2 linked regions of the Caenorhabditis elegans genome follow. The protein of the gene in region 1 purifies or fractionates together with the protein of each later gene. This does not show direct contact. Each region holds a gene or a part of one and is shown on either strand. Other genes may lie near its edges.

Evidence for each region. The genes of interacting proteins can lie anywhere in the genome.
Region 2: the proteins of icl-1 (region 1) and dhp-2 fractionate together in Caenorhabditis elegans (co-fractionation; one large-scale study listed by BioGRID). This does not show direct contact.

What each region holds. Positions count from the first base shown.
Region 1 is NC_003283.11:723,441-729,903, forward strand, and holds icl-1 (Malate synthase), read right to left. Parts: upstream 4,565-6,463; 5' UTR 4,518-4,564; coding exon 4,488-4,517; intron 4,419-4,487; coding exon 3,945-4,418; intron 3,540-3,944; coding exon 2,712-3,539; intron 2,644-2,711; coding exon 1,395-2,643; coding exon of another isoform or gene 1,384-1,394; exon of another isoform or gene 1,343-1,383; coding exon 1,017-1,342; 3' UTR 898-1,016; downstream 1-897. Other genes in the region: fbxb-72 (F-box domain-containing protein), read right to left, coding at 1-274, 320-387.
Region 2 is NC_003282.8:9,976,250-9,981,598, reverse strand, and holds dhp-2 (Dihydropyrimidinase 2), read right to left. Parts: upstream 3,478-5,349; 5' UTR 3,414-3,477; coding exon 3,328-3,413; intron 3,279-3,327; coding exon 3,098-3,278; intron 3,054-3,097; coding exon 2,882-3,053; intron 2,834-2,881; coding exon 2,577-2,833; intron 2,531-2,576; coding exon 2,298-2,530; intron 1,572-2,297; coding exon 1,259-1,571; intron 1,211-1,258; coding exon 890-1,210; 3' UTR 824-889; downstream 1-823. Other genes in the region: rrp-1 (Ribosomal RNA processing protein 1 homolog), read left to right, coding at 1-452, 540-756; C47E12.14 (Salivary lipocalin), read left to right, coding at 5,215-5,349.

The sequences.
Region 1 (6,463 bases):
CGGAAAGTGCATCCAAATCCGACTGTTTTTAGTTGTATCCACGATTCCTATATATTCATCTGGATTATCAATTAACACAACTCCCGCATTGGGGTCATAGTAGGGATTGGCTCTATATCTGCTTGTGTAAAAGATGAAGTTGATTGTATCACGCCGAGCGATTTGAATTTTGAGTTCAATCAACTCTTCAACATTCACAGAAATCGATAAGGCGCTTCGATGCAGAGATTTAGAAAGATTTTTCGTCTTTTTTGAAAACAACGAAAATGTTAATCTGAAATTGTTCACATTTGGTTTTGTTTTTAGTTAAATAACTTACATTTCTAGAAGCGGCCAGTGTTGAAGTGTGCAGCGAAGTGCTTTTGTGGGTAGTCGGAGAATATTCATTTGTGCTAAATAAGAAATGAGAGGGAATGGACAACTGACGTAAGATTATCGACTATTTGAATGGCGAGTCGTTGCGCAGATGTACTAATTTGAGTCGATAGGTGTGTGGAGGCAGCAGGCCACCTGTAGAGCATCTATATTGCAATTTACAGTTTGCTATATGTGTTTGCAGCGGAACACGAACACAAACAGTTGAAACAATTTGATTGTTGAATAATGAAACATAAGTTTTAGATAGAAAACATATGTAGCTTATGTAACAAAACATCGCTTCGTACTTTATGACTCTGCAGCTTCAATTTTCACGCTTCATAGATGTCACCTTTTTATCTCAAACTTTTGAGACTTACGCATAGACCAGAGAACCAGAGAAAATTCAAGATTTTTTTTTCAAGTGATTCACTACGTGCTTTTTTTGTGTGAAAAAATGAAGTGACACGGATATGAGGTAAAGTCTCAAATCGTGGGAAAGTCTGGAATTCGTGGACTTTTTGAACACAACACGGACATGACAAAATTTTACTGAAGAGATTTATAATTAACGGCAGAATGTACAAGAAAACCAGTAGGTGCAACGAAAATCATGGAGAGAAGTATACAAATAAGTAATTCAAATTTAAAAAAATTTCCTAATATCCTTCAGAGACAAGCCTGTCGTAAGCGTCGGTGGTCAAGAAGTCGCTCATCTTCTCCTCGGTGACAAACTTCTCGAGCAAGTCGGCAGCCTCTGGGATTCGGTTGACAACTGATCCGGCTCGGATGAGACGACGCTCGGTCTCGGCGGCAATCGTTTGCTTGACAAGTCCGGCGTCAATAGTGCGACCGTCCTCAAGCTTAGCATCATGATGGAGCCATTGCCAGAGCTGAGCACGCGAGATTTCGGCGGTGGCAGCGTCCTCCATCAAGTTGTAGAGTGGCACGCATCCGGTTCCTCTGAGCCAAGAGTCGAGGTATCCTGAAATTAATTCCAATTTCAAAAATGTTCAAAAATATTTTTTAAGGCTCACCAAGAGTTACAGAGATATTATGGCGGAATCCAGCTTCAGTGCGGGTTCCCTCTGGGATCACAGTGAGGTCTTCCTTGGTGCAATTGGCGCGGGTGAGATTCTTGCTGATCTGGTTTGGCTTTGGCATCATTTGATCGAAAACTCTCTTAGCCAATGGCACCAATCCTGGATGAGCAACCCATGTTCCATCGTGTCCGTCAGTGGCCTCTCGTTCCTTGTCAGCTCTGACTAGGGCAAATGCCTTGTCATTGGCGACCTGGTCGTGCTTGATTGGAATCTGGGCAGCCATACCTCCCATGGCATGGATACCACGGAGATGGCAGGCCTTGATGACTTCCAAGGAGTAGTTTCTCATGAATGGAGCGGTCATTCCAATTTGGAATCGGTCTGGGAGAAGGAACTTGCGATGGTTCTGGAACGTCTTGATGTAGGAGAAGATGTAATCCCAACGTCCGCAGTTGAGTCCGACAATGTTGTCCTTGAGGGCATGGATGATCTCGTGGAGTTGGAAGCTGGCGAGCAAATGCTCAATGAGCACGGTACACTTGATGGTTCCACGGGCGAGGCCTAGCTTGTCCTCGGTGTACTTGAAAACGTCAGCCCAGAGTTGAGCCTCCTCGGCGCTTTGAAGCTTTGGAAGATAGAAATATGGACCGGAGCCCTGGGCGATGAGGGCCTTGGCATTGTGGAAAACGAAGAGTCCGAAATCAAAGAGAGATCCTGAAGTTGGCTGGTTGTGGATGAGGACATGCTTCTCTGGAAGGTGCCATCCACGTGGACGGACCTTCAGAACGGCGTGTTTCTCATTCAGTGTGTACTCCTTCTTAGTAGTTGGGTGGGTGTAGGAGATGTTATTTCTTACAGCATCATATAAGTTGATCTGTCCTTCAAGCTGGTTTCTCCATGTTGGGGAGTTGGAATCTTCGAAGTCAGCCATAAATACATTGGCTCCAGAGTTCATAGCATTAATAACCATCTTACGATCGGTTGGTCCAGTGATCTCAACTCTACGATCTTGCAAATCCCTTGGAATCTCGGCTCCCTTCCATCCTTGATCACTACGGAGCACCTCGGTCTCCTTGTTGAAATCTGGGAACCAGAGGGAGTTGTTGATATCAGCCTGAACTTGGTTGCGCTTGGAGAGAAGTCTCAAACGGCGAGGGTTGAATTCGGTGTTGAGGTCGTGGAGGAAGCGAAGAGCATCTGGTGTGAGGATCTTCTCGTCTCCAGCAACGTTTTGGGCGGTGAGCTGAAATTTTGTTTAGTTATTTTTTCTTCTAATTCTTGCCTTAATATGCAGGTCTGAATAAAACGTACCGAAAGGATTTCCTCATCCTGCGAAGCAACAGCAGTCTGGAATTGAGCTTCTTCAGTGGATCCTGACAAGGCAGTAGTCGAAGAGAGTCCTCCGGTAACCGCACGACTGACAGCGTCGAAGTATCCGGTTCCCACTTCTCTCTGATGCTTTACTGCCGTATATCCATGCTTCTCAGCAGCAAACTCTCCTTCCTGGAGCCCGGAATAGGCGAGCATACCCTTCTCCTTGTAGTTTCTGGCCAAGTCAAACATGCTATAACTGTTGGCATGGTATCCGGCAAGCGTGATAAACTGATATTTGAATCCCATAGCTCCCAACTCCTTCTGGAACTTCTCCATCTGCGATGGGGACAGATGCTTCTTCCAGTTGAAGGATGGAGAGCAGTTGTAGGCGAACATCTTGTCTGGGTACTGCTTGTGGACACCTTCAGCGAATTCACGGGCGTCGGCGATCGTTGGGTGAGAGGTCTCCATCCAGATGAGATCGGTGTATGGAGCATATTGGATGGCACGATCGATACAATACTGAATTGCAGTGGAATCCTTGAGTCTGTAGAATCCTTCAATCGTTCTTCCAGCCTCGTAGTCAATGTATGGATGATCTCTTGGATCAATGTCAGATGTCAAAAGTCTAGAGGACTCTGCGTCGGTTCTTGCGACAATGATTGTAGGAACTCCGCAGACATCAGCAGCCAAACGAGACGCATTCAAGTGACGAATGTGTTGGGCGGTTGGGATCAAGACTTTTCCTCCCATATGACCACATTTTTTCTCCGATCCAAGCTGATCTTCGTAGTGAACTCCTGCCGCACCGGCTTCGATATAGGCCTAAAACAACCAACGATCATTTTTGTTGTTTTTGATAGCGTTATCTAATCATTCTAATCATTGTTGGGTGGAGAAAAATAGAGAAGAAAGATGTTTGTTGACCGAGAAGTGAGCGCTGCGATGAAATGGGGGTGATAAAAAGAGAAGAAAGGAACACATGGAACTTCGTATGTACCGATTTTGGAAAACTGAATAGGTCAAAGGACCAGGACCACTGGACATTCTTTGTTCCCTACACACTCCCCGTCCCGTTTCCTTTAGACGCCCGCGTTGAAATCATTTGAAACTATACACTTTTACACAACAAAGCTACACACCGGCAATGCCAACTGCCACTCTTATCTCTCTCACCCCCAAAAGTGTCCAGTGGTCAGTGAAGAGCAACTGTTAGTGTTGCATGCCTACCTTCATCAACTCGAAGCAATTCAGGGCTCCACCGAATCCGGCTTCTGCATCGGCAACGATTGGCGCGTACCAATCACGTTGGGCGAGGTAGTCCTCGGCTTCACAGGCTTCAATCTGGTCTGCTCTTCTTAAAGATCTGTTGATTCTCTTCGCCAATTCCGGGCCAGAGTTTGCTGGATATAAAGACTGATCGGGGTACATGTCTCCAGCGGAGTTTGCGTCGGCAGCCACCTGCCATCCGGACAAGTAGATAGCCTTCAATCCGGCTCTGACCATCTGAACTGCTTGGTTTCCAGTCTGGGCTCCGAGAGCCGGCACAAATGGCTCAGTGTGCAATAGTTGCCAGAGTTTGTTGGCTCCACGTGTGGCAAGGGTGTAGTCAATGTCGATGGAGCCTCGGAGTTTGAGCACATCTTCGACGGTATAGTCACGTTTGATGCCCTTGAAGCGGCCTTTTGGAGCCGATTTGACTACCTGAAATAATTTAAATTTTAAAAATTTCATATATTAAATTTCAAATTATAAAAAAATAAACCAACATACCTGATAAAAATTTTTAGCCGCAGAACTCATTGTGTGTGTCTTTGTATAATAAGCTTAGTTCTTGTGAGGGAACTAAAGTCGGCACACCTCCCGGGACCCGGCTTTTATACTCTGCCCGACGAGACGCAGAGCGATAAGGGTCCGAAACTATAGGGGGCGGAGTCGAGGCAGTGTGTGATATCATTAGGAGAGAGAGACAATTGATGAATAGATAGAAAGAGACGCAGAGGTGCAGAGAGAACAGTCAATTATTTTGTTTACGCTTTTTTTGTGTGTCTTTTTGGCAGCTTGATATGATGGTTGATCGTTGATGAAGTACGCTTTTTGAAAATGTTTAGGTATATGGGAGATGTTTGTCAATAATGCAGTTTTTTTGAAATTTGAAATGCTGGGTGCTAACTGTTAATATTTTAGAAAAAACTTGGTTTTTCTATCAGAATTACAAAATTGTAAGTCTATTTTAAATTACAAAAAATGAAAGTCAAAATAAATCAACCAGAAAAAATTAAGATATGAAATTTTTAGGGCATTTATATATTTTTTATTAGTCTAGAATTGCACCCAATTTGCAGTTTTAATGTACATAATAATTTTTTTGTAATTTTTCACTTAATTATTTGGCTGTAACCGTGACTTGAAAAATTTTACAAAATGGTAAATTTTGGTTTTTCAAATTTGTAAAGCTTACTTCTTCATATTGCCAGACTATTTATGTTAAATAATACTAAATAATCAGGAAAAAGTTGAGTAAACAATTACATATAATGAAAGGGCAAACAAACAAAATCCCACTGGAATCAGTTATTTTTCGTAAGAAAACAACATTGATAGGATATTTTTTTGGAGTAGCGGGGAGTTTTAAAGTTTTAAAATATGTTCAGAATTTCCCAAAAAGGCTACAAAACTTAACTGAAAACCTATATTTTATTTTAAATTCAAGTCAAATAAAACCCGTTCTTCAAGTCTTATGCATCGCTGAATTTCTGTACAACATTCCTGGTGGAGCTCTCTCTGGGATTTAGGTTCGAGCCACGGAGAATTCAGATTGCTCCATTTAAGACTGGGTGATCCTAGAGGGTGTCAGGGCTTGAACTCGTTGCTAGCGGCCACTAAGACCGGCTATCCCCGCCAGTTTTGAAATATCTGTCAAATTCAGGTTTTCTTTTAACTATAAACTATTGCATAACCTGTTTGAAAACAATACTTTGGTCTTATTTTTCAAATAATTGCACTATTCAAAAAGAAGACACCAAAGCACCTTCACCGCGCCACGATGTTGGTCTTTTTCCAAATAATTTTTTTCTTACACACATCCCCAATTCACCACTGCAACAAAAACAGCCGACGGTGGACAACCCGAATATCGCGTGTTTGGTTCTTAGTTTCTCTGCGGACTCCTGACTTATCTCTTTATCTCTTTGTTGTAACCATATGATCTGTGAAGTGGCGGGGCTGAAGCTTCTTTGATCCAAAAAAGAAAAGTATCTATGATGTGAGATGTATATGTGCACTAATCAATGATCTTGGTGATAAGGAGTCAGAACACATGTGGTTGAAGTTGTTTGACAAGAGAAGTGGAAGGTCAAAAATTATTTGGAATTTGCGGTGCCAGAAAATATAATGAACACTTTTTACAACAAGAAATCTAGATTAAAGATGTTAATTTTCAACCCATTTTTTACATGAAACTTTAGCCCTGTCTTAAACTTTAGGTTTTAGGCTTTAGGCTTTAGGCTTTAGGCTTTAGGCTAGTTAGGAATATTTTAATTTCCGGAAACTTTATTTTTTAAAAATCAAAATTTTAAATTTAGCGCTGAATTTTGTAGAAAAGTTAAAGATATAACTTTCTCCAATTTTTTTTTGTTGTGAAATTAAGTTAATCGAAAAATAGAATATTAATTCACCGCCAAAAAATTTGGAACAACCTAAAACTTGAAATTCCCGCCAATTTTTTTTTAATGTGAAAGTGCTGTCAA
Region 2 (5,349 bases), on another chromosome or scaffold:
GCAGCCGGAGGATTAACCAAGAAGCAAGTGACGGCCTGTCTCAAGCCATACATTGAACTTCTCGGAAACAAAGACATCAGTGAATATTTGTTCACATCACTTTATGAAGAAATTTTCAAAACTATTCTCCAGCAGAAAAGTGATTTGATCACCGCTGTTGAAGAAGGAGAAGAGATGGATCAAGGTGGAATTGAATTCAGTTACAAGGAAATCGGAGCGTTGCTATTTGAAGTGGGAAAGCAAGAACATTTAAATGCTAAGAGAAGAAAGAAGATCTATGATCTTGTTAAGAAGTTCGATAAGAGTTCTCGTGGACAAGATCCATTACATTTCGAGACCCCAGTTCCAAAGGAGAGGTTGACAAGACATGATTATGAAGAAGCCGAGAAGAAGGCCATTGTGTTGGCCAACAGCTTCAAGCAAGAGAGAAAGTCGTCCAGAAAAGTTAAAAGGTACACTTATAGGCGTATTAAGCTGACGAATTTATTGTTAGATTTATCGTGAAATGTAAAAACTTTAAAAATAAAAATTTTTTAAAGCCAAATCAAAAAGCGAGCTCGTGAGGCTGCCGAAGCTGCACGGCAGGAGAACGGAGATGATGTTCCAGATGACGAAATCGCTGAAGTTAAAAAAGGAAATGGAAAGAAAACAGCAGTTCCTAAAGTGAAGAAAGGGCGCCCACTTTTGAAAGCTAAAGGAGTCGGAAAGAAGAGAATGGTCGGCGGCCTGAAAAGAAAAGCAGGAAAGAAAAATTAATCTGAATATCATTGTTGCTTGATTTGTTATGTTTTTGTTATAATTTCAATTTTTGATGCATTGTTACTTTTTGGAAGTGATTTTTTTATTGAATTTTTAAAAATAAAAAAAAAACAATTATTTACAAGTAGATTTAAAACTGAATGCTGCTAGCTCCTCCTGGAGGAATTGCTGCCCTGACTGGAGCTTTCACAACGATGTTCGCATTGGCATCAGGTGTCTGCAGTGCCGATGGCTCATATGGAATTCGGTCTATTTTCACAGGTTCCATAGCCTTCTTACGATTGTCAACAGCTGAGAAGACGATTTGAGAGTCTGGAGCCAAAGGAATGAATTGTCCTGAACCTTGAACAGTTTTCAGTTGACCATTTGCCCAAACAGTACGTCCTCGGGAAATTGTGATTTCTGGAACTCCGTGTACTTGCATTCCTTCGAAAATATTGAAGTCAATCGCCTTGAATTTTTTGCATTAAAATTGAATTTACTAAAACCTAAAACTCACATGATGATGTGTATCTTTTGAAATAGTTCTAGTTGCATTCGCATTCCAAATCACAATATCCGCGTCGGAGCCAACTGCGATTCTTCCCTTCTGTGGGTAACAATTGAAGATCTTAGCAGCCATTGTAGAAGTGACTGCCACAAATCTCATAGGATCAATGATTCCAGCATGAACTCCTTTATCCCAAACAACTGACATTCTGTCTTCAACTCCGTTTACTCCATTCGGAATTTTTGTGAAATCATCTTTACCAAGAGACTTTTGTTGACAATCAAATGTACAATTATCGGTGGCAGTGAGATGCAATTCTCCACTGAAAATTGTTTAGTCTCAAAATGTTGGGGGTTTTAATTGAAAATTTAAAGGTGAACTGTCTCTTTTGAAAATTTTATTCTAATTTCCACCGAATATGCTAGGAAAGTTTGAGTTATCGTAATTTCACGAGATTTCGACCTCTTCTTTGAAGGTACACGGGATTACTTCATTTTTAGCTAAAAACGATTTTAGTTTTAGCGAATTTTGTAGAAAATGGACAATAAAAGACTACCACAAACTTTTTTGCGCACCTAGACCCATCGTAATACATTCGTGTGTCTTTGGAAGGGCAAGTCAAAATATCGTGAAATTACAATAATATAATTAAAAATTCCGAGCAATCTGACAGTTGGGCTGGACTTACTCTGAATCTGTGCCTGCGGAAAATCCGCGCTGTTTCTTCCGTAAGTTTTTTACCCATCAAGTTCTAGAGTATGTGCCGCCCAATTTACGGTTTTTTAAAGGCTATTTTGAGTTGAATTTTTTTGATAAAAACGTTTTCCTTTTTGGTGTAAATCGCATTTTTGGCTAATTTGGAGGTAGTAAATATACACTTCAGTGCTGTGCGGCTCTTGAAAAAAGTCGGCTCTCGGCGCGCGCCGAGTCGGAAATTTTTTTCGGCTCTTGGCTCCGGCCAAGAGCCGAAAAAGCTCCAAAATGCCGGCTCTCGGCTCGCGCCGAGAGCCGCACGGCACTGATACACTTCCAAGAATTCTATACTTACGCAGCCAACAATTTCATCAATGCACTAGGTGTTGATGGATCACGAGAAAGTGGAGGAGACATGACATAACGAGCAGCATGAAGCCAATCTTCATTATAATAGTGACTTCCATCAGTGGCTAGTCCTGCAGCAATTGGTTCTCCAAACACAACAGCTCCCTTCTTTCTGTGATGAGCAATTGCAGCAGCTGCTCCTTTTGACATTACGTGAACTACGTACAATGGACAGTTTGCCTGAAATTTTCTCATTGAATATTTTAAATCTCACAATCCGAAATACCTGAGAAGCCATAGTACAGGCACGGAAAGTAGCTTCAGCTTCCAATTCTTCTGGGCGAGATTGAGTGTGTCCTTCTGGTCCAGTAATACCAGAAGAAAGAAGATGCTCACATCGTTCCGCAATGACGGATCCGTTTTCAGCATGAACACGAGCCAATGCACGTAACTTTGCGCATTGAATCATTCCTTGATAGAATTCTTCGTCACGAACCATAAAGACACCTGCGTACGCGAGGAAAAACTTGAAGGAATTGATTCCTAAAAGTTGATATAGACTAGGACTACTAAAACTAGAACTTGGTATACCATATTCAGCTCCAGTAACAATTTCCATTTCTTTGGCAATTTCAGGCCCCCAACTGGTAATTGCCATCGACAATCCATAGTCACAAACGACTTTTGGATCAGCCCACCCTCTCCAACGATCGTAAGCAACAAGGAGGGATTCGCCTTTTGTTGGAATTACAAAGTCAATAATCTGTAACCAAAAGTTGGAAACTTTTATTTCTTAATTTCAAATACCATAGTTGTACCACCAGCAACAGCAGCTTCCGTTCCCCTATGAAAATCATCCTTTGCAATTTCTCCCATGAATGGTAGCTGCATATGTGTATGTGGGTCAATGCCACCTGGAATAACAAGACGATCCGTTGCATCAACTACTTCAAGACCAGGAGTTGGTTGGATGGATGGAGCGATTTCCCTGAAATTCAAATTTTCCATTAAGATGCATGATTCAAAGTTGGACTCACACAATCCTTCCATCAAGGACCAGAACATCGGATTTGAAGATAGCATCATCATTGACAATGGTTCCATTTTTGATTAGAAGTGACATTTCTACAGAAAAAATTTGATTAAAATTAAATTTGAATCAACTAAAATGTTTTATTTATACCGATAAATGGATATCAAAAAGCGACGGTGGAATAGGGAGTGGGCGGAGATCAAGACAACGGATCAGTGGGAAACTAGGAAGAAGGCGTGATATTTTACAGAAACATTTTGAGGAATAAAATTGCTATTGCGGGATACATATTGTTTCATATACTTTAATTTTACTAATAAAAATGCTAATCCAACAAAATGAGCTTTCAATCAAGATATTCTTCAAGATATTCTCAATTTTGATTGAACAGAATAACAACAACAATATACAAAATAAAAGAGAGAAAGTATCTCATCAGAGGTGTGTATGCATCAACACCAGTTGTCTTTTCATAGCTCTTCTTCCCGTGAGCCCACCTCCCCGGCCTTCTGCTGGACAGCAGATGTAAAGGTTCCAAGTTGTAAAAATAAAGAAATGGTGCCATATAGTTTACAACCAGCACATTGCCCTAAAACCAAAAAACAACCGAAAATCAGATTTAGTTAGGAGGTGAGGCAGTCGTCTTTGGACCTGCGGAAAGGTTTGTTATTAGATCCAAGTCTCAGCGTTTGAAGATATCCAAAAACGGTTACGGTAGTTCAGCCTTCACAAAATTGTCTACAATCGATGCAGTTAGAATGATCAAAGTAACTTGTTTCATCTATACAGTTTAGCAATTGAGTTTTGTAAATCAAAAACTGTTCTACATACTTTAACCTCGGTTTAATTTAAATATTTTATAAAACTTTTCACTTTAAAAAAGAGCATAATACATACTGTTTTATCTCTGTAATTAATTAGCAAAGTTCGTGAATAAGCAAATTAACACGTAGATAACTTTTTTGGTAAGATATGGTTTTTGCATAATAAATACTAATTTCTTCATGATAAACTCTTGATTCCTGAACCTCCAAAGGTATATTATCGATAGATTAAAATATCAAATTTCAAGGACAACCTCGTCATTTATCACTTTACAGTTATTAGTGGGAATTCTCTTTTTCCTTTTCCCAGTTCTTCTTATCAATCTATCAATCAACGCACTTTGGTGGGCGGTCTTGATTTTAGTTATATCTAAAAGGATGTATAATTTTCTTGTATTGATACCTAGATCACAGAACGAACAAAAAGTTCCAAAAAATGAGAGGATGAATTCAATGAAATGATCATAAAATGGCCTTGAAATTGAAGTTCTAGACATTGAGATTTATTTAATAATTGATAAGGCATACTTTAAAAATCCTGCAGACTGGTTCTTTAATTTTCGAAAAGTCTCTACAAAACTTGTCTTCGGAAAAAGAAACTTAGAAAAATGAAGAGCAACTGTTGAAGTGATACCGCGTGGTTTACACTGAAGAAGACAGAAGATCATTCAAGCTCGTTGAGTGCTCTAATAGCATTCTATCAACAGGGGTCAAGGAAAATCTAACAAATCTGAAGTAAACGTAAATTTAAATTGGAAAGTTTCCAAAAATAAGGATCTTTTTAAATAAATAAAATTTGAATTACAGTTTAATCGATAGTCGAACTAGAACAACAATTGGGCATTTTTTTATATTTGTTTTTTCAGAGTATAGCCGCATTGAAGATATTTGTATAATTTCATTTTCAGATTCTAAAGTTAAACAATTTCAACGCTTTGATTACGTTTACCCATCACACTCTTTATTACTCATCCCAATAATCTTTAATCTATAGGTTGATCGCACAGAATGCGTTCCTGCATTGCCATGCATTTAAAGTTTGAACATGTTGTTGTAATTTGTTAGATATGACCAATTTGCAAACTATAAACTATATCACCATACTATTTTTCTGCCTTCTCGGGTATGAAGCTCGAGATCAAATTGCTTCAGCAGCTTTTCGTGCATCTTTTCCTTACGCAAATAAATCTGATGTCTGGAAG